4 linked regions of the Saccharomyces cerevisiae S288C genome follow. The gene in region 1 interacts genetically with each later gene. Each region holds a gene or a part of one and is shown in the gene's direction. Other genes may lie near its edges.

Region 1 (5,750 bases):
GAGTGCTTACTCTTCTTTTTGTTTTTACCTTGTTTCAACTCGTTTAATCTATCAACTTTTTCCTTGATCCTTTCCAAAGATAATTTGACATCACCTTTTTGGAAATTGCTTAAGTCGTAGTATGCAGGCGCTATTTCAATCAGCCATTCGGGCCTGACCGAGGTCACAGTTCTTATGTAGTTCTTCGATGTGAGCACAAATTCATTGTAAATGACCCATTCTGCGTCGTGGCCAAGAACCGTACTAGGATGGATCAGAACATCTTGGTTATCTTTAACTGTGATGTATCCTTTAGCTCCCGATCTTTTTTTTGCTACTTGCATGAAAAACCCAGACGCAAGAGCCTTTCTGATGTTGTCAAAGTATTTAGGGCTTTCATAGTCTGTAGTGTTTAATTCTAGGTTGTAACGGTTCATTAATCTTTCTAATTGGGAGCGGATATTATCAGCAGCGGAAAGGGACCTGTAATTTAGATAGTGGTCACGGCACCACTTATGGATACCATATTCATAAGCTTCATCCGATTTGAACGCATGATATACATTTAGTAAGGTGATATGATCACCGTCTGGATGAGCAAAGATATTCTTGGCATCATCTGCTCGCTTCTTGTCCTTTGTTGGGCGAATAAACACGTTTGGAACCGATAGCATGGCCACTATAGTTAGTATTTCTTGAGAACATTGGAACTCAAAGGACCCAATTAACATCACCGCTAGCATAGGATCCAAGGGAAACTGGGATGCCAATCTACCTAGGGGTGTTAAGTTACCTTCGTCGTCCAGACATGCCAAATAATTTAGTTCTTCAAGGGCTCTCATCATTGTTTCCGGAGCCGGTGGATCCATAAAATCGAAATGGACCAAGTCATCAATACCTAATTTTTTTAGTTCTAGAACGGTGGAGGATAAATTGGAACGTAAAATTTCTGGGTAACTTTGCTCTATCAGTTCCTTTTGGAATGCCTCTTCAGTGTATAATCTGAAACATTTACCAGGCCTTGTACGACCAGCACGACCAGCTCTTTGTTGGGCAGAAGCCTTGGAGATAGGGGAAACAAGTAAAGACTCAACTCTAATTCTTGGATTGTAAACTTTTTGCTTTGAAAATCCTGGGTCAACGACGTAGACAATACCATCAATTGTTAAAGAAGTTTCAGCGATGTTCGTGGAGATAACAACTTTCCTGCCTGGTCTACCATTATGTGACTCTGGAGCAGGCTCGAATATTCTTTGTTGTTGATGCGGTGGTAATGAACCATACAGTGGGTATACGGATAAAGGTCCGCATCCCTCTTCTCTAACCAATTGATCACCTTCTAAGGAAATCTTTCTGACAGCGTCTTCAATTTCATCTTCACCAGTTAAAAATAACAAAATATCGCCAGCCTCTTCAGTGGCATGAATTTGCAAAACAGTACGAATGGCAGAATCTAAATAGTCCCTTTGAAATTCCGGTGTATAGTATAGCTCAACTGGATATGTTCTGCCCGGAACGGCAAGTAATGGAGCATCGTTGAAGTAGCGTTGGAACTTCTCTGCATCCAGAGTAGCAGACATAATAATTATCTTCAAATCAGGTCTCCTCTTGACTACTTGCTTCAAAAGACCCATCAAAATATCAGTAGCTAGTGTACGTTCGTGCGCTTCATCCAGAATGATACATGAATAACGCGACAAGTCATGGTCTTCCATTGCCTCTCTCAACAACATACCATCAGTCATATACTTCAATATCGTTTTATTAGAAGTTTTATTTTCGAATCTGATAGAATAACCAACTTCTTCGCCCAACTTGACATCCATTTCCTCAGCAACTCTCTGTGCAACAGACATTGCTGCGACACGACGAGGTTGAGTACATGCAACTTGAGTGTTCTCTAAGTGTGGCATCTCATCGAATAAAACGAATTGAGGAATTTGTGTCGTTTTACCGGAACCTGTTTCACCAACAAAAACCATAATCTGGTTATTTTGATAAAGTTTTAAAAACTCATCTCTCTGGGCATGTACTGGCAATTCTCTTCTAATTTTCAGGATATCAACATATTTTGGTGTAAACTCCCTACCGGTAAATGGATTTATTTTTCCATCTTCAAGTTTTTGGGCCTCTTCTGCTGAAGTATGGTGACGTTGCAAGCCCTTGAATTCACCAGCATCATGATGGACAAGTGGCTCTTCGGATGGAAGAGGATGCTGTTTGGATAATTCTTCCGCAATCTCGGCGGCCTGCTCAGGAATAGAGGTCTCAACTGGATCCGGGTGTTCGGACGAGAATCTTCTTTTGGAACCCATTATTATTCTTGCAGTCCTAATCTTTCTATGCGCGTTTATAAGGTTATACTATCGTTACTCAATCGCATCCCCGTAAACGTGTTAAATATTACAATTGAATAAGTTTCTTTTCACCTCATCTCGCATTTGAAAATTTTTCAGAGGCACCGAAAAAAAAGAAAAAGAAATAAAAAAGGACTTGTGTATAAGATCGCTAGATCAATAAAAAGCAATCTGGTAGATTTATGGGACTCCGAAATGATACTGTCAGTTGAAACAGCAAACGAATACAGAGCGTAAAACTAAACGACCTTAGTTTGGAAAATGATGAAATTTGTCCATAACTATATACTATCAGTCAGCAAACTATGATCCGGGTAATATTCATTTGTAAAGCTTTAGATCTGTAATAGTACCCAGTACTTTTTTAGATGATCTTAATTAGTTAAGATCTTTCTGGTACTGTACTCAGTACGCTTCCTTGGCATCCTTATTGGGACCTGTTCGGCTAAGATATCGTTCGATATGGTTACAAATATGGTGAAATTGAGGAATTTAAGGAGATTGTATTGTTCATCCCGTCTCTTAAGAACTATACAGAACGGGAGAATTTCTTCTGTTTCTTCAATATCGTTGAGTAAGAAATATACTACAAAATCTGCCAAAGAAGGTGAAGAAAACGTAGAAAGGAAGCATGAGGAGGAAAAAAAGGATACATTAAAAAGTTCCAGTGTACCAACTTCACGAATATCGAGATTGTTCCATTATGGCTCACTGGCAGCAGGGGTGGGCATGAATGCCGCAGCAAAAGGCATATCGGAAGTTGCAAAGGGCAATTCTCCCACTTGGAAATCTTTGATTCTATCAGATTCGAATATTGACAGAATTACCAATAAATTTTCTAAAATGAGAGGTGTTGCCCTTAAAATAGGGCAACTATTGTCTTTTCAGGATGAGAAAGTGTTGCCAAAGGAATTATACGAAATTTTATCAAGGGTACAGAATAGTGCAAATCATATGCCTCAAAGGCAATTGGAAAAGGTTATGGCCAAGGAATTAGGTGCTAATTGGAAGACAAAGTTTTCCAAATTTGACAAGATACCTATGGCAGCTGCTAGTATCGGACAGGTACATGCGGCAGAGTTGCCCAGTGGTCAAAGAGTGGTTGTCAAAATTCAATATCCTGGGGTTAAAGAATCCATTGATTCGGATTTGAATAGTTTACTAATGTTACTTACAGCCTCAAGTTTATTACCGAAGGGATTATTTTTGGATAAGACAATTGCCAACGCTAGAACTGAGTTAAAATGGGAATGTGATTACAACAGAGAGGCTAGAGCTCTACAAAAGTTTGAGGCGTTGCTAAAGGATGACCCAGCGTTTGAGGTTCCTCATGTGTTTCCTGAATATACAACCGATAATATTATAACTATGACACGTATGGAGGGAACTGAAATAATGAAATTGCCCAAGGCATCACAAGAAACCAAAAATTTTATTTCGGAGAATATCATGAGACTATGTCTGGAAGAAATTGCCACTTTCAAGTATATGCAAACGGATCCTAATTGGGCAAATTTCCTCTATAACGGTAGGACAAAGAAAATTGAATTATTGGATTTCGGTGCCTCCAGACCTTTTGCAGAAGATTTTATTCTAAAATATAGAAAACTTTTAACTTACGCCACATTGAGAGATAGGAAAGGGGCGTACGAAATGTCTGTACAACTGGGCTATCTCACAGGCTTAGAATCGCAGTCCATGAAAGACGCGCACGTCGATAGTGTACTTACACTTGGTGAACCTTTTAGGGGTGATGTAGATAAATCTTTCGATTTCAAGGATCAAACAGTCTCAGACAGGATTAGAGGTAATATCGGGTTAATGTTGAATGAAAGACTATGTCCGCCACCAGAGGAAACATACTCGTTACATAGAAAATTTAGTGGCATTTTTCTTTTGTGTGCAAGAATGGGTGCGTCTGTTCATTGTGCAAAGCTTTTTAAAGAGATTTTTGCCTATAAAGTTTAAAATACTTCCCCGCTATTTGTATATATGCATATCTTTATATTATGAAAGATATTTTTTTATTTACTTTTAGTCCGTATACTTTTATTTTGTTTTGTTAGACAATCTCGAAGAACAAAAAAAAAAGATAAAACAGAAAGATAAATGTGCACTCTTTTGTACCTCGTTCTGCTATAGTACTTCCAACCAGATCGACTGAAAGATTACTAGTATATACGTCATGTTTTTAAATAGTAGTTCCCATTCTGCTTCAGTGAATTAGATATTTTTTTCCAATCATTCTCTTTAAACCCTCTGCGATAGTGATCCAACATTTTCTTAGCAACGCTAATCCTTCTGCCAATAGCTTCTCAAAATATACACCATTAACTTTACAACATTACATAATATGACATTCCACAGAACCTCTCTATTCCATTTTACCCCATTTCAAATTACTTTTTAGTCTTTGAATTGGGTCGCTTCCTAATTATAGAATTATTTTTCTCTGTAAAGTCCCAGCCTTGTTACAATACAATTGTACATCATTCATGAGAGATGAATATAATCTGCATTTCTTGTTCTAAATTGAATATGTATCTTTGAAAATACTCTGTATGCAGGCAACTTCTTTACCAATATTTACTTTATGAAACACGCCAGCTTTAAGACAATACCTTCGGGTCAGAAATATAGTTTAGTTTGTTAACTACAGCAGTTTCTTACAGAAAATTTTGAACTTCGACATTAGTGCATTTATCTCAGGATATAATGATCCCGTTATCCAATCGATATAGCTTCCTCAGGTTTCCATTCAGTCATAAATGTTAAATTAACGTTGTGCCTAGGGGGCAGATAAGCCTATGACATTGTTTCGTGCTCATCAAAACACTAATGTAATGGATGGCAACTGTTGCACCTATTCAGGCTGCAAAAAAAGAAGTATCATTTAAATCAAAAGGAATATGAACTGATATAAAAAGAACATATTCATACGGGCGAATTTGGCTAGTAACCATTACGAGATAGGATAGAATATACGTATGAGATTAGAATAATTAACATAAAATATGATAATATCGCTTTGCATTGCAATTAGCATACGTAACCTCACACAAATTTTATACTAATTGTCTAGGCATTTCATACAAGAATAACATTAGCGATCATTAGATCAGCTAAAGTTCTACATAAATGCTGCTGAACATAATAACATAGGTCCGCTTAGCAATATCAAGACATTATTACCGCTGTCAACATTTCTTGTCCGTCAGTGGACTTACAAGAATTGAACCGAAAAAAAAAAGAATAGAAAAGGTACAATAAAAAGCAATCGGTAAACGCGACAGCAGAGACGCCCCTGCACATTTAGTACACCGTTTCCTTCATTTAACCATCCTTAAATTATCACTTGCAGTATAAAAAATGAAACGGACAGGAATTGAACCTGCAACCCTTCGATTGCAATCT
Region 2 (4,493 bases), on another chromosome or scaffold:
ATAACGGTATACAAAATGAGGCAATAAAAATCAAAGAACTACACTATAAAATAACGAAACATAAAGCTGAAAGACTAGCAAAATCACTAAAAAACTAAAATAAAAAAAGAAAATGAGCATTTCCCCTTTGCATTGAAGTATCATCCCTTTCGGGCAAGACCATGTTTAAGGAACTTCACTAATGACATCGGAGGTCTATATATAGCAGACCTCTTCTTTAAAAGATATAACTTTATAATTATAACCCCGCGCAAAGCGTATTAATACTTTAAATGGGTAGTCAAGTTGCTTTTATTACTTGCACTTACTTTGAAGGAGGATGTCAGAATTACCCTCGCCATATTGGTAATGTAATTTTTCACGGACTCGAGATTGAAAAAATTTCAGAAAAATTTGCAAAAAAGTGCCGATGAGATGAGCCTTCATAAGCTACGTATGTTGTAAGGGTATAACATCTGTCAAGCTTCACCATTGTCAACACTTTTCCACTAGGATAATCCTCCAAAAGTATAGCAATGTCATCTTCCGCCCCCAAATACACCACTTTCCAAGGGTCACAAAATTTTAGGTTACGGATCGTCTTGGCAACATTATCAGGGAAACCAATAAAAATTGAAAAAATCCGTTCAGGCGACTTAAATCCCGGTCTGAAAGATTATGAAGTGTCTTTTCTAAGGCTGATCGAGTCGGTCACCAACGGGAGTGTAATTGAAATTTCTTATACCGGTACTACTGTGATTTATAGGCCCGGTATCATAGTTGGTGGTGCATCAACTCATATCTGCCCTAGTTCCAAACCGGTAGGTTATTTCGTCGAACCAATGCTATATTTGGCTCCATTTTCAAAAAAGAAATTTTCTATATTATTCAAAGGCATAACTGCATCTCACAACGATGCCGGTATTGAAGCTATCAAATGGGGACTCATGCCCGTTATGGAAAAATTTGGCGTTAGAGAGTGCGCCCTACATACTTTGAAAAGAGGTTCACCACCACTAGGAGGTGGCGAAGTGCATTTGGTTGTTGATTCTTTGATTGCGCAACCTATAACTATGCATGAAATAGATAGGCCCATAATTTCATCGATTACCGGTGTAGCATACTCTACCAGAGTAAGTCCGTCGCTTGTGAATAGAATGATCGATGGTGCTAAGAAGGTATTGAAAAATCTGCAATGCGAAGTTAACATAACGGCAGATGTCTGGAGAGGTGAAAATTCAGGGAAGAGTCCAGGCTGGGGTATTACTTTGGTTGCTCAGTCCAAGCAGAAAGGTTGGAGTTATTTTGCAGAAGATATCGGTGATGCAGGTTCTATACCTGAAGAACTTGGTGAAAAAGTTGCCTGTCAATTATTAGAAGAAATATCAAAGAGTGCAGCAGTTGGTAGAAACCAGCTTCCATTAGCAATTGTTTACATGGTCATCGGGAAAGAAGATATCGGCAGATTGAGAATTAATAAGGAACAGATAGACGAAAGATTCATAATCCTCTTGAGAGATATTAAGAAGATCTTTAATACTGAAGTCTTTTTAAAACCAGTTGACGAGGCGGATAATGAAGACATGATAGCTACTATCAAGGGTATTGGTTTCACAAACACAAGCAAAAAGATTGCATAGCATGTTCTAATATTATTCAATAGATATTAGACCACTGTATATAAGTTATATATATATATATGATTATTTAGGTGTAACTTCACGGACAACTGTCTAGAGTATAAGATTACTGGAGGATCATTGATGATTTCCTTTAACTCTTTTGGGTCATCTAAAATATCATCAAAGAGCGTATGCGAAAAGCGCGTTAAGAATAGATTACTTCATGACAAAATATAATTTTCCAGCTCAAAAATGTTTGTTTTTTTATGTAGACACTATTTTCAAACTATCTTTGTTAAATTACTCATCACCATCGTTGAAATCCAGATTAATCCAACTTGGCCATGCTAACTCCTTTCTTAAAAAATCTTTGAATATCGTAAACAAAAACTGTTCTAGTTCTCCAACACTTCTTAATACTGAGCCCTGTCCCTGATATTGTTCCCCTATTTCGGTTTCAATCTTCATACTTCTCACAATGGATATTCGCTCCAATGGCTTAGTAGCTGCCAGAATTGGCCCCTTAGGATCTAAAACAGTTTGGTTGTCATCCAGTGCAGGATCACTAACATCACACAGAAAGCTAAGAAATAGTTGCTTTGATAAACATGCAACAATGCAAAGGGAATGGAGACCGATATCACTGATAGAAAGTTTTACTGGCAAAGTCATAAATTTTTCTACGGGATAATTCAGCACAAGGTCGGCACCAATCGTAACGAGTAAGTCACCCTTGTACTCGACCTCTAGTAAAAATTGTATATCGTTGGGGGATGGCATCACCACAGGCGCCTCAAAATCATCTTTAGGTCCTTCATGATTAGCTATAGTACGATCAGGACAAATATGTTCGCTGTCCTCCTTGTTGTCATTATTTTCCTCCGTCTCTTGATCAGCCTCCTCTCTAATTGAATCATAAAACTCATCTAGGGGATCTGTTATTTCTTTCAGTGTTATAGCAGGACCAACTTTTCCCAGATCAAAATCTAGTACCCTAAGATTACTTACGTAGCTTGGTAGTTGCGTATTTTGTAAATATGAATTTAAATGTTTTCTTATAAGATCATTCAGTCTATTGTCAGATTCCAATGTACTCCAATTAATATCAAAAGACATTTGGATTAGTTGAAGCCAGCTTATGATCTGTTTCAACCGTTACATAGGATGGCATGCTTTTTCTCATGTTAGAGAAAAATTTAAAGATCGAGTTGTCTGAAAAACCTGAACTATTTAAAACGAATAATAGGATAAGGAGCCAAACAATAAACGGCTAAAGATACCGTGGAGAATGGTTTTGATAATAAGGCCCTCACAGACATTGATATTATTCAGGAAAGCGATGCTCAAGCCAATTGGGAGATATCCTCTTAAAAGAAATTTTTTTGGTTTGAGCGGTACCAATCACACTATTAGGGAACAGCGATATGTTTTGCGCAAGGCCATAAACGCCCCTCCAAGCACAGTCTACGCTGCAGTGTCAGAAGTTGCCCAATATAAGGAATTTATTCCTTATTGTGTTGATTCGTTTGTAGATAAACGAAATCCTGTGGATAACAAGCCTCTCATTGCGGGGCTTCGAGTTGGTTTCAAACAATACGATGAGGAATTTATATGCAATGTTACCTGTAAAGATACTGATCATACGTATACCGTTGTTGCAGAAACAATATCTCATAATTTGTTTCACCTTTTGATTTCGAAATGGACCATAATGCCTCACCCAAATAGACCAAATGCGGCCATGGTAGAACTTCTATTAAGATTTAAATTCAAATCTCGGATATATAACAGTGTCTCTCTAATATTTGCGAAAACTGTGACTGAATTGGTGATGAACGCATTTGCCAAAAGAGCATACCATTTAGTAAGATTAGCAATGCTAAAACCTTCTTCTAAAGAAGGCTCTCCGTGATATCTTCCGTATAATTTCAGATAACAAAGATCATGCCATCCAGGATAAGCGTATGCATGGTTAAATTTTTAGACTATAGAACAAGATTTTTCTGTATAGTTATGTTTATAGTATTTAAGCTTTCTAACAAGCTCCAGTAGGGGCGGAGGATACAAACAAATATATTTTGCTGCAAAATTTCCTGGTCTTCCGTCGCAATCAACAAGTTGATACGCAGATGCACCATTTTATTCATTGGCAAAGTACGATCAGTTTAGTGCTTGTATCTGTATGCGAAAAAAGAATGGTGTACTAAAAACAGCGCATGGTGATGGCGAGGAATTTACACGTATCCTCTCATTAATTGAAGTATTAGGTTTTCGAGTCGCACTTAGTGTAAATGAGGTGTAGAAAGGTGGGGACGCAATTATTCCTTACCGTCGAGCAGTTGATCCAGATGAACACTGGGAGGACGGTACTTCTTTACTTTACCCTGACTAACATTTGATTTTGGAGTAGAGCGGTCTTCAGAGTCGGGACTTAAATTGTATGATGTATAATTGAATGGATTAGTGCTGTCTGTAAACTTTCCCAGTATTTGGGTAGCACCAGGTTCCCTTGGAGTACTGGACAAGGAATCATATATAGCACTCTCATTGCTTTGAGACCATGTATTAGAGTTGTTGGCATCAGATTGCAGAATTTCGGTGGGTGAAATAAACATAGATGATCTGAAGTTATCGTTGGCATCTGTTTTATTGTTCAAAAGATTCAAAACAGAAGTGGATCCTAGAGTATACAAACTCATACGAGATGAGTTATTTTTCAGAACTTTTTCTGATATGTCACTGTCGTCAGAATGGGAAGATGTTTCACTTTCGTCGTCATTAATGTTTGTTTGGAAGTAGAAAGGATCGTGTTGGTATTGATTTTCTAGATTTCTCAGCTTATTTTCCTTTCTAGCACTTCGCCATGACTTTATATTCAATGCAATCCATGCA
Region 3 (5,107 bases), on another chromosome or scaffold:
CTTAAAATCAATGTATCTAGATTATTTGAACCAGCTAATTAAACTAAAGCATGAGAAACAACACCACTCTACACCGCCCATCGCTAATGATGTCTCCCTGGACTTCTTCGTTAACCAATTGCCTAAGTTTTCTCCCGAGGAAAGGAAAAATTACATTGACAATTTAATCCTGAATAAAAATAGCCATAATCGATTATCTAAAATGGATGGTCTGGTAGATGCAGTCATCAATTTATGCGTCTTGGATACTTCCGTTGCTGAAAATGTACGATCCTATATGAAATTATTAGATACATTGGGTTTCCAAAAGGGTTCGAATAGTACTGGTACAAAGGCCAACCTCAAAAAGAAATTGGCTAGTTCGAAAGCAAAGATAAAGGATTCAGAAAAAGAAAAGGAGAAGGAGAAGGATAAATCAAAAGTCAAGATGAAAACTAAATTAAAACCTTCTCCTTTGCTCAATAACGATGACAAAAATTCTTCTCCATCGCCTACTGCATCTACCTCTTCAATGAAGAAATTGAAGTCGGGTTTATTCAATAAAAATGAAGCTAAGTCTACAGAATCTCTACCTACTTCTTCCAAGAAAAAACTATCATTTTCTAAATATCTGAACAAGGATGACGCAGATATGACCAAGCTTGGGACTAAACGGTCAATAGATGTGGATTTCAAAGTCAACCCCGAAGCATCCACGGTGGCTTCTAATATCATATCTTCGTCAACGTCAGGATCGTCAACCACAACGGTAGCGACTCCTGCTTCTTCAGAAGAGCCCTTAAAAAAAAAAACCAAAATATCCGTGCAAGACTCTAATGTACAATCGATTTTGAGAAATGGTAAACCGAAAAAAGCACGCATAAGTAGCATCAAATTTTTGGATGATTCCCAACTAATAAAAGTTTACGGTGACGATCTACCGAACCAAGGGCTACAAGTTTCTCCTACTCAATTGAAAAAAATTCTGAAACCATTCAAGGAGGGGGAACCGAAGGAAATTATATTGTTCGAGGATATGTCAATCAAATTAAAACCTCTTGATTTGATGTTTCTGAAGAACACAAACAGTGATGACTATATGGATATATCCGAGACTAAAGGTGGCCCAATACATTGTGAAACAAGGACCCCGTTGATCTATAGAAAAAATTTCAATCATTTCAACCCGGACTTGAATAAAAGGCCGCCAAGAGAACCCATAGAATTCGACTTAAATGGAAATACGAACTCAACCCCGACTATAGCAAAGGCTTTCGGTAAAAATAGTTTATTACTAAGGAAGGACAGAGGTGGTTTGCCATACAAGCATGTCCCCATAGTAAAAAGAAATAAATATCCTCCAAGACCAGTACACTAAGCTATGACATGCTGATACATAAACATGTAGTATATATACTCATTTTATATAATGTAATTATAAGATATCAACCTTATACCGCTGAAGACTTTTTATTTTGAAGTTTTTTCATCAGTAATCTGGACATGACGATGCTACTGGCACTTACGGCCCCAAAAGGTGGGAAATACTCCAAAACAGTTCTTAATTTACTAGGTTGGATTTTTTTTACAACACTTTCAATCTGTTCGTATAAGTCAACCAATGTGCTGTTATTTTGTAGGATATAGTCAGATCTTGCCATCCTTTCTTCAGTGCTCATTTGACTATTTAGCCTGTTTTTTGCATCTTCTTCACTAAGTTCAGGATTTCTTGTCATTAATCTTTCTAGTTGCAATTCTTGCGTACAAATTACGCTTACAGTCACTCCGCATATTGAATCCAGATTTCCTTCAAATAAGAGTGGCACATCCAATACACACATTCTATATCCCTTCAAGTAATAGTAGCCAATTTCTTTGAACATTGCATACCTGATTGCAGGATGTGTTATCCCATTCAAGGCTTGCAAATCTTCTTTATGACTAAAAACCCATTTCCCTAGGGCTTCACGATTTAAATGCCCATCCTCCAATAATAAATTCGGTATTTTGTCCTTGAAGTATAACACAATTTGATCATAAGCATTCTGTCCTGGTTCGACCACTTGTCTAGCAATCTTGTCCGCATCAACAATGGGTAGTTTGTATTTGTCTCTGAGTCTTCTCGACACTGTGCTCTTACCACAAGCGATCCCACCTGTCAATCCCACTACCAGCATATTTTAATTGTGGCTATCTGACAACTTTCACTGAGCTTTTAATTTGGACCGTTATTATTGTGCCATGTATTCTCCCCATCCCCATTCTAGGTAAAACAAGGGTAAGAACAAAAATTTAAAAAAAAAAAAATAGAAAAAACCTTTGCATATATTTGGGTCTGCCTAATTCATCTAAAGCATATTTCAATTACAACCACGCAAAGGATTAAAAAAATCCAGAATACGATAATGTCAAGCTCAATACCTAGAGTTTACTCTCTAGGGAACTCAGCCATGACGTACTTACTAGCATTGAGAATTGCACAACTCCCGAGTCAACCAAAGGTTCCATCAGTTGTTCTTCTTTTAAACGACCAGAAGAAACTGAATAGATTCCTCAATAATGACTCTAAAATTATTGTTAAATCGAGTAACAACAATAAAGAAACTTATCATAGACAGTTTATGGCATCTTGTGTCCCGCCCATTCTAAGCAATGGTGAAATTGCACCAATTGAAAATTTAATTGTCTCAGATCCCTCTTCGAAATTTATCACTGCCCAACTTTCTAAATACAATAAATCTTTGAGACCCGAAACCAACATTCTGTTTTTGAATCCAAGCTTAAATCTATTGGAACATTTGCATAGATATCGATGGCGCTTTGATGAGGCAAGACCAAACTTGTTCATGGGCTTTACAACACCAGTTGACGTTGGGACCATACATCAAGAATTTCAACTGTCTCTCAAAGTGAAAGGAAGGATACAATTTCATATTGCAAAGATTGATGGTTTTCCTCGAATGAGTAGTACTGGTAAAAGTGCGAGTCTTTCTCTAAGAGGTGACAGGCAGAAAAATGAAAAAGAAAATAATGCGTTTTATAAGTTGTTTAGAGAAATTTCCAGGCTACGATCTGGAATAGGTTCCGATCTAGTTAGTTTTGATCTGCATGTTCATGGTTTCCAGGATTTGTTCTTCACTGAACTGGAGAAATTGATATTGGAGAGTTGTACCGAGCCATTATTGGCAGTATATGATTGCGTATATAAAAAGGAACTTTTGAAAATCCCCGGAGCACAAGATATAATAAAAAAGTTGATTAGTGAGCAGCTGTCAATTATCGATCGATCCTACCCGTCACTAAACACCAACCCAAACTATTCTGTAATCTTTGACAAGGAGAGAATATTTAGCTTGGTGATGAGAGATCTAGAAGTTAATGGGCACAAGCGCGCTAAGTTGGCCCAATCTTTAAATCAATTGAATCAAACGAACATTAATGAACTTAACGGATTTTTTGTTTCTCTTGGTAAGTACAAAAAATGTAACTGCAAGTGGAATGATATACTTCTGACTTTAATAAAAGGGAAACAGTTTATTACTAAGCAAAAAGCACTAGATTATCATTACCTGTGAAGAAATTTCATGTATATACAATAGATATTCCTAAATTTTCATATATGAATGGCTGCTGCGCACATGTACTTGCGAAGAGAAGCATGGGCACTGGCACTTCCGAATTTAAAGTTATTTCTTGGACTTTACAAATACCTATGATTGCAGGTCTTGTAAGTGTTGTGTAAGTATTTTTATATACCCTTTGTATATGGTAATTAAGTTTTGTAAGCAGAGGTTATTCTCAAGATTAGATACTTTTTCTGTCAACTCGCTAAGCGTCTTTGTATATTTTGCAGTTAAGGAGACCAATAATTCTTTTAAAACTGAAGAGATTTTTGGCTTGAAGTAATCTTCTGATATGTAACCTTCAATGAATTTTCGAACCCTCCTTTCATCCCTCGTCACATAATAGTTCAATGCTACGAATATCCTATAACTGATATCAGTCTCATTGATAGTGTAATCTCCCCAATAATCATGTTCCAATAGAAACGTTTTTACCTCCTTTTTGTCGTCGTCTATTAGTTCAATAATTTCGTCAGATATGTCTAAGTAGTTCCATTTGTTTCCGTCTACCACAAATCCATACTCGTTCAGTAAAAAATCATTTGAGTGTGCACCATAATTCAAAAAGAGCTCCTCGTTAATGTTGTCATAGAGGTGATCGCCGCATCTAATGGTAAATTGTCCAATTCCAATGATGTTTTCTCCTTCTGACCTCAACTGAGGACTTAACTGAGGATAGCAGTGCAAATCCGACTCACAAATGTGGTTCATGAAATCGACATACGGCACTAAAGTGAAATTGCTTGGGGAGTCCTCTATTTTCAACGGAATCTTCGCATAAAGACATCTTGAGTTTATAATAAAATAAACATGTACAAAAAGGGAGAATAACTCATCACTAGTAAATTTATCAGAATTTTTCGTACAGCTTAAGGAGCCGTAAATTTCATTCCATTTCAAAACCACCTCTGAAATGGTTTCCCAATCTTCTCTGACAAGGCCACTAATTCTTGCCATATGCTTTCGTGAGGCAGCAGGGAGATATTCAATCAGTGAATGGTAACGTGAATTGGGATCACAGTTCCAAATGGCTGGGATTGATCGCAGCTCCTCCATTGAGGGCCATACATCAAAGAATGGTTTCCAATCTGAGTAGATTTCATTGTGAGTCCATTTTGGCAATAGAAAATTTTCAACCAATATATAAAATGATACCAATTGAAATGATGATAAACTTAACAAAAACTCTTTCGATAATTCGGAATATAATCCATATCTAGGATCGGCCCAGGCTTTATTTTCCGCTTCAATAATATTGTCCTCATAATTGATTGGCTTTCTATCGATTGTGATACCAGGAATATTCAGCTCTTTATTAAACTTTGAAATATGATAGAGGATAGTGTGAAAATTTAGTTGCTTCGAGCTCGGTACTGATACAATGATATCGTTTTTTCTTATCGAACCGTGACTGAGGACGATCCCTCTGCCAGTTTCTGGCGATTCACAGATGCTGATGTTTGGTGCTATATAAAACTTATCTGATTTTTTCAGCCATGTTAGCA
Region 4 (5,100 bases), on another chromosome or scaffold:
TTGAAGATTTTATAATTGCAACAAGAAAACACAAACTAACTGGTACTCCTGTCTTTTATAAAACAGATTTAAATATATAACAAATAGTTGAATGTGAATATGCTGTGATTTAAGTATATTTAAACGTATTTGGCTTGTCTAATATTATATTTTTTAGATCGTTTATGGATCGTTTCAAACGGATGTAGGAGCACACGTAACAATTAGATTATATCTTTGAACATAAAACCAATAGCCTTAAAATCAAAGAAACGTCTCCTTCAACTTGCGTTAAAGGCATACCAAAGCAAGCTTATTCAACCATGGTTACCCTTGAATACAATGCAAACAGTAAACTGATCACTGCGAGTGATGCTGTTGTTGCACTATCTACCGAAACTAATATCGATCAAATAAATGTTCTCACTACATCTTTGATTGGAGAAACCAACCCAAATTTTACACCACAACCGAATGAAGCTCTAAGCAAAATGATCAAGGGTTTATTTGAAAGTGGTATGAAGAATTTACAACAAAAAAAATTGAATGAGGCATTGAAGAATGTTTCTTTAGCAATCGAAATGGCACAAAGAAAAAGAGCGCCTTGGGAAGCTTTTGCTATTCAGCTACCAGAGCTACACTTTATGCTTCGTAGTAAAATAGATTTATGTTTAATACTCGGAAAGCATTTAGAGGCGTTGCAAGACTTGGATTTCTTACTTGGTACGGGACTTATCCAACCAGACGTATTTGTCAGGAAGGCGGACTGTTTGCTAAAATTGAGACAGTGGGAAGAGGCTAGGGCAACATGCGAGAGAGGTTTAGCTTTAGCCCCAGAGGATATGAAACTTAGAGCCCTTTTAATAGAAACTGCAAGAAATCTGGCCGAATATAACGGTGAATAAGGTGCATAACCGAAGATATTTTAGCCTTTTCTTGATATGTCTCTATGCTACACACGACTACATAGCAAGAAATTTTAGATAGATTCAAAAACACATAGCAAGCCCATTATCATATATACTAAGGAATAGCCTTTATGAAAGGCTTTGAACTATACAGCTTGAGTATATGATACCTCTGCTTCCCAACCGCAAGCTTTTTTTCTTCGTGATGCTGAAAAAAAAAAATGGACATAGAAAAAACCTTCATAAATGAAACAGACCATTCATTACTCGTGCGGAACCAGTAAACACAACACGCCAACTTTCGAACTTTTGCCCAACATAAGATGTCCTCTCAAGCATTCACTTCAGTACATCCGAATGCGGCAACATCTGATGTGAATGTTACCATTGACACTTTCGTTGCTAAGTTAAAAAGAAGACAAGTGCAAGGTTCATACGCCATCGCCTTGGAAACTTTACAACTGTTAATGCGATTTATCTCTGCAGCTCGTTGGAACCATGTTAATGACCTTATTGAACAAATCAGAGATTTAGGTAATAGTCTAGAAAAAGCTCATCCTACTGCTTTCAGTTGCGGTAACGTAATTAGAAGAATACTGGCTGTTTTGAGGGATGAAGTAGAAGAAGACACTATGAGCACAACTGTCACATCCACATCCGTTGCTGAACCTTTGATTTCCTCTATGTTTAATTTATTACAGAAACCGGAGCAACCTCATCAGAATAGAAAAAATAGTTCAGGGAGCTCTAGTATGAAAACCAAGACTGATTACCGTCAAGTAGCCATTCAGGGTATCAAGGATCTTATAGATGAGATAAAAAACATTGATGAAGGTATTCAGCAAATTGCTATTGATTTGATTCACGATCATGAGATTTTATTAACTCCCACACCTGATTCAAAAACCGTATTAAAATTTCTGATTACTGCTCGCGAACGTAGTAATAGAACATTTACGGTTTTAGTTACAGAGGGGTTCCCTAATAACACCAAGAATGCACATGAGTTTGCCAAAAAATTAGCACAGCACAACATAGAAACCCTAGTAGTCCCAGACTCAGCTGTTTTTGCTTTAATGTCCCGTGTGGGTAAGGTTATTATCGGCACTAAAGCCGTTTTTGTCAATGGGGGGACTATCTCGTCAAATTCAGGTGTATCATCCGTTTGTGAATGCGCCCGAGAATTTAGAACCCCTGTATTTGCTGTTGCAGGTTTGTATAAGCTTTCTCCTCTATATCCGTTCGACGTAGAGAAGTTTGTCGAATTTGGTGGGTCCCAACGTATATTACCTAGAATGGATCCAAGAAAAAGATTAGATACAGTTAATCAAATTACCGATTATGTTCCGCCTGAAAATATTGATATCTACATTACAAACGTCGGTGGGTTCAATCCAAGTTTTATATATCGTATTGCGTGGGATAATTACAAGCAAATTGATGTGCATTTGGATAAAAATAAGGCGTGATGATGTGTCTTTTGTACATTACTCATGAAAATAAATAAAAATCTTGTAGATCAAAACAATTTTTTTATTATTAATTATTAGTATATAATCAGAATATTTACGTATCCTTGAATATGTTAAAAGACTAATACATAAAGAGCATCTTAGCATTAACTTTTTACTTCTCTACAAAGTCTGGCAATTTGACTCATTTTTTTTTTTTAGTTGAGTGTCTCCTCGTAATGCCATCTTGTCGCTTTTGCATAATAGAAAAACAGGAAAACATTGAAAAAATAAAAAAATAAGGGAAATATGTATCGTATACAAAAATACAGCTAAAGCTTGAACTGAAGTAGAAAATGATACCAAAGCTTATAGTTTTTGGAGGCAATGGATTTTTAGGTAAAAGAATTTGTCAAGAAGCAGTGACTTCGGGCTACCAAGTCGTTTCTGTGTCAAGGTCCGGTAAAGCTCCTCATAGCAATGAATTAAATGATAAGCAATGGATGCAGGAGGTCCAATGGACCGCTGCTGACATTTTTAAGCCTGATTCTTACCATGAATTATTGAATAATGCTACTAACGTAGTTCATTCTTTGGGAATCCTCCTAGAAAATGAAAATTATAAGCAAACTCTATCCAAATCCCCTACATATGATTCAAAATCACGCCTTCTATCTTTTGGTGCAGGTCCAAATCCTTTAAAAAAAAGCAGTCCTTATTTTACTTATGAAATGATGAATAAGCAAAGTGCTATTATTTTGGCAGATACATTTAAACAAAAAATCCTAAAGAAAAGCAAAAAGGAGCAAGAAAAAGCAAATCAAAGATCTTTTACGTATATTTCCGCCGATAAAGGTTTCCCATTGATTCCTAGTGGCTATATTAATTCGAAAAGAGAGGCGGAGATTGAACTAGAAAAAATGCAGAGATATTTCAGGCCTATTATTGTGAGACCCGGTTTTATGTTCGATGAGCACAGAAATGCAATTGGACCACGGTCTTTTATTCATACTGCACTTGAACTACTTTACTGCGGTAACAAATTTCTATTGAGAAATAAGCTGCAGCTTTTGAACGACTTGATTAGGCCAACAGTATCCACTCAGCAGGTAAGCAAATCCGTCCTGAAAAATATCGAAAACCCAGATTTTAAAGGGGTAGTTACACTTGAGGAAATACTTAAAGCATAATGATTATGCCATTATTATATTTATTAATCTATTTTTCTCTTTTATTTACAAATGAAAAGTACTTAACTATATACAGCTTGGTATAATTTTAAAATGGTAATAACAATAATATGCAATGCTAACGGCGCAAAAAAGCCTGATATGCCTCTTGGTTGATTTGAATATTACCTACAGTTTTCATATGCTTTTTACCCTCTTTCTGTTTCGCCAAAAGTTTTTTCCTTCGTGAGACATCAGAAGCATGCAGCTTTTGGAGAACATCTTTTCTTCTTGCCTTAATTGTTTCTCTAGCTATTATCTTGTTATTAGCTCGGGCCTGTATAACGACCTCATATAATTGTGATTTAACATACTCTTTAAACTTCTTCACCCATTCTCTACCCACTCTCTCTACTTCCGATTTATGAAGTACTCTTGACAAGGCATCAATCGCATTTCCATTAACCAAGAGTTGCAGTTTTACAACATCAGAAATTCTATAGCCAGCATCCTCATAATCTAAAGAGGCAAATCCTCTGGACACCGATTTTAATTTACCAAAAAAGTCATCAACTAGATGCGATAGCGGAAGGTAATATTTTAACATCACTTGTCCATTGGTGTTTAGGTATGTTATATCAATTTGTTCTCCTCTATTACTATCGCATAAGCGTATGACACTACCTAAATATTCCTGGGGCAATGTCATAACTGCCTCTATAAACGGTTCATGGAAAGCAGCAACGTTCACCCTCTTTGTTGCTCCGTCTGGAAACTCATCCGGATTTGTTATAAGCTTTTTCTTACCATCGGTAAACTCCACCAAATAAGGAACTGTGGGTTGAGTAATGATCAATTTCGAACCATACTCTTTTTCTAGTCGTTCACGAAAAACAGATGCATGTAAAGATCCTAAAAAGCCCAATCTCCAACCTTGACCCAAAGCATTGGAGGTCTCACGTTCCAAAGTAACTGACCTATCGTTGAGGACAAGTCTACTCATATCATCATCCATGGCTTTGAATTCAATCCCATCAGCCGGGAAAGCACCCACAAATACCATGGGTTTTTGTTCTTCAAATCCGGGAAGTACTTCCGTTTCATTTACTTTACTTAAATGCATTATAGTATCTCCAATTTTTGCTTCTTTAGAATCCTTCATTCCCAGCACTAGATAGCCAACCTGTCCTGTCTTTAGCGTACCTGTAGAGGTTCTGTCAGGATACATGATTCCAATATCTTTGACTTCGTATTTTTCTTTTGTCTGAGCACAAATAACCTTGTCATTTTTACGTACAGAACCATCAACAATATTCACTAGAAGAACCGCTCCTAAGTATGCGTCGTACCAAGAATCCACTAATAATGCTCTGAAGGGTTTATCAGGCCTCCCCGTTGGTGGTGGTATACGATCAATTATAGCCGGTAGTAACAGTTCCTCTACATTTAATCCTGTTTTAGCACTTACTCCGATTATATCTTCCTCGGGGAGCTCAAAGTTATTCACTATCTGATCCTTTACCTGTTTAACATCTGTAAAATTTAGATCAATTTTGTTTATTACTGGAATTAATTTCAATCCTAAACTGAAGG

What was found.
Region 2: of COQ8 (region 1) and COQ10, extra expression of one rescues a mutant of the other (dosage rescue), as found in Saccharomyces cerevisiae (4 studies listed by BioGRID, with this or other methods).
Region 3: of COQ8 (region 1) and CBS2, extra expression of one rescues a mutant of the other (dosage rescue), as found in Saccharomyces cerevisiae (one study listed by BioGRID).
Region 4: of COQ8 (region 1) and COQ11, changing one suppresses a phenotype caused by changing the other (phenotypic suppression), as found in Saccharomyces cerevisiae (one study listed by BioGRID).

The regions. Positions count from the first base shown.
Region 1 is NC_001139.9:281,644-287,393, forward strand, and holds COQ8 (protein kinase COQ8), read left to right. Parts: upstream 1-2,798; coding exon 2,799-4,304; downstream 4,305-5,750. Other genes in the region: DEAH-box ATP-dependent RNA helicase PRP43, read right to left, coding at 1-2,294. UniProt on the Saccharomyces cerevisiae protein: Atypical kinase involved in the biosynthesis of coenzyme Q, also named ubiquinone, an essential lipid-soluble electron transporter for aerobic cellular respiration.
Region 2 is NC_001147.6:307,423-311,915, forward strand, and holds COQ10 (ubiquinone-binding protein COQ10), read left to right. Parts: upstream 1-2,889; coding exon 2,890-3,513; downstream 3,514-4,493. Other genes in the region: RCL1 (rRNA-processing endoribonuclease), read left to right, coding at 516-1,619; ERMES complex subunit MDM12, read right to left, coding at 1,902-2,717; CSI2 (Csi2p), read right to left, coding at 3,920-4,493. UniProt on the Saccharomyces cerevisiae protein: Required for the function of coenzyme Q in the respiratory chain. May serve as a chaperone or may be involved in the transport of Q6 from its site of synthesis to the catalytic sites of the respiratory complexes.
Region 3 is NC_001136.10:848,844-853,950, forward strand, and holds CBS2 (Cbs2p), read left to right. Parts: upstream 1-2,384; coding exon 2,385-3,554; downstream 3,555-5,107. Other genes in the region: RNA-processing protein REF2, read left to right, coding at 1-1,357; CAB5 (putative dephospho-CoA kinase), read right to left, coding at 1,431-2,156; RKM2 (protein-lysine N-methyltransferase), read right to left, coding at 3,690-5,107. UniProt on the Saccharomyces cerevisiae protein: Translational activator of cytochrome b. The cytochrome b (coB) leader RNA may represent the target sequence for CBS1 and/ or CBS2.
Region 4 is NC_001144.5:715,573-720,672, reverse strand, and holds COQ11 (ubiquinone biosynthesis protein COQ11), read left to right. Parts: upstream 1-2,694; coding exon 2,695-3,528; downstream 3,529-5,100. Other genes in the region: Sec63 complex subunit SEC72, read left to right, coding at 303-884; GCD7 (translation initiation factor eIF2B subunit beta), read left to right, coding at 1,211-2,356; GTPase GUF1, read right to left, coding at 3,647-5,100. UniProt on the Saccharomyces cerevisiae protein: Component of MIOREX complexes, large expressome-like assemblies of ribosomes with factors involved in all the steps of post-transcriptional gene expression. Component of a multi-subunit COQ enzyme complex required for coenzyme Q biosynthesis.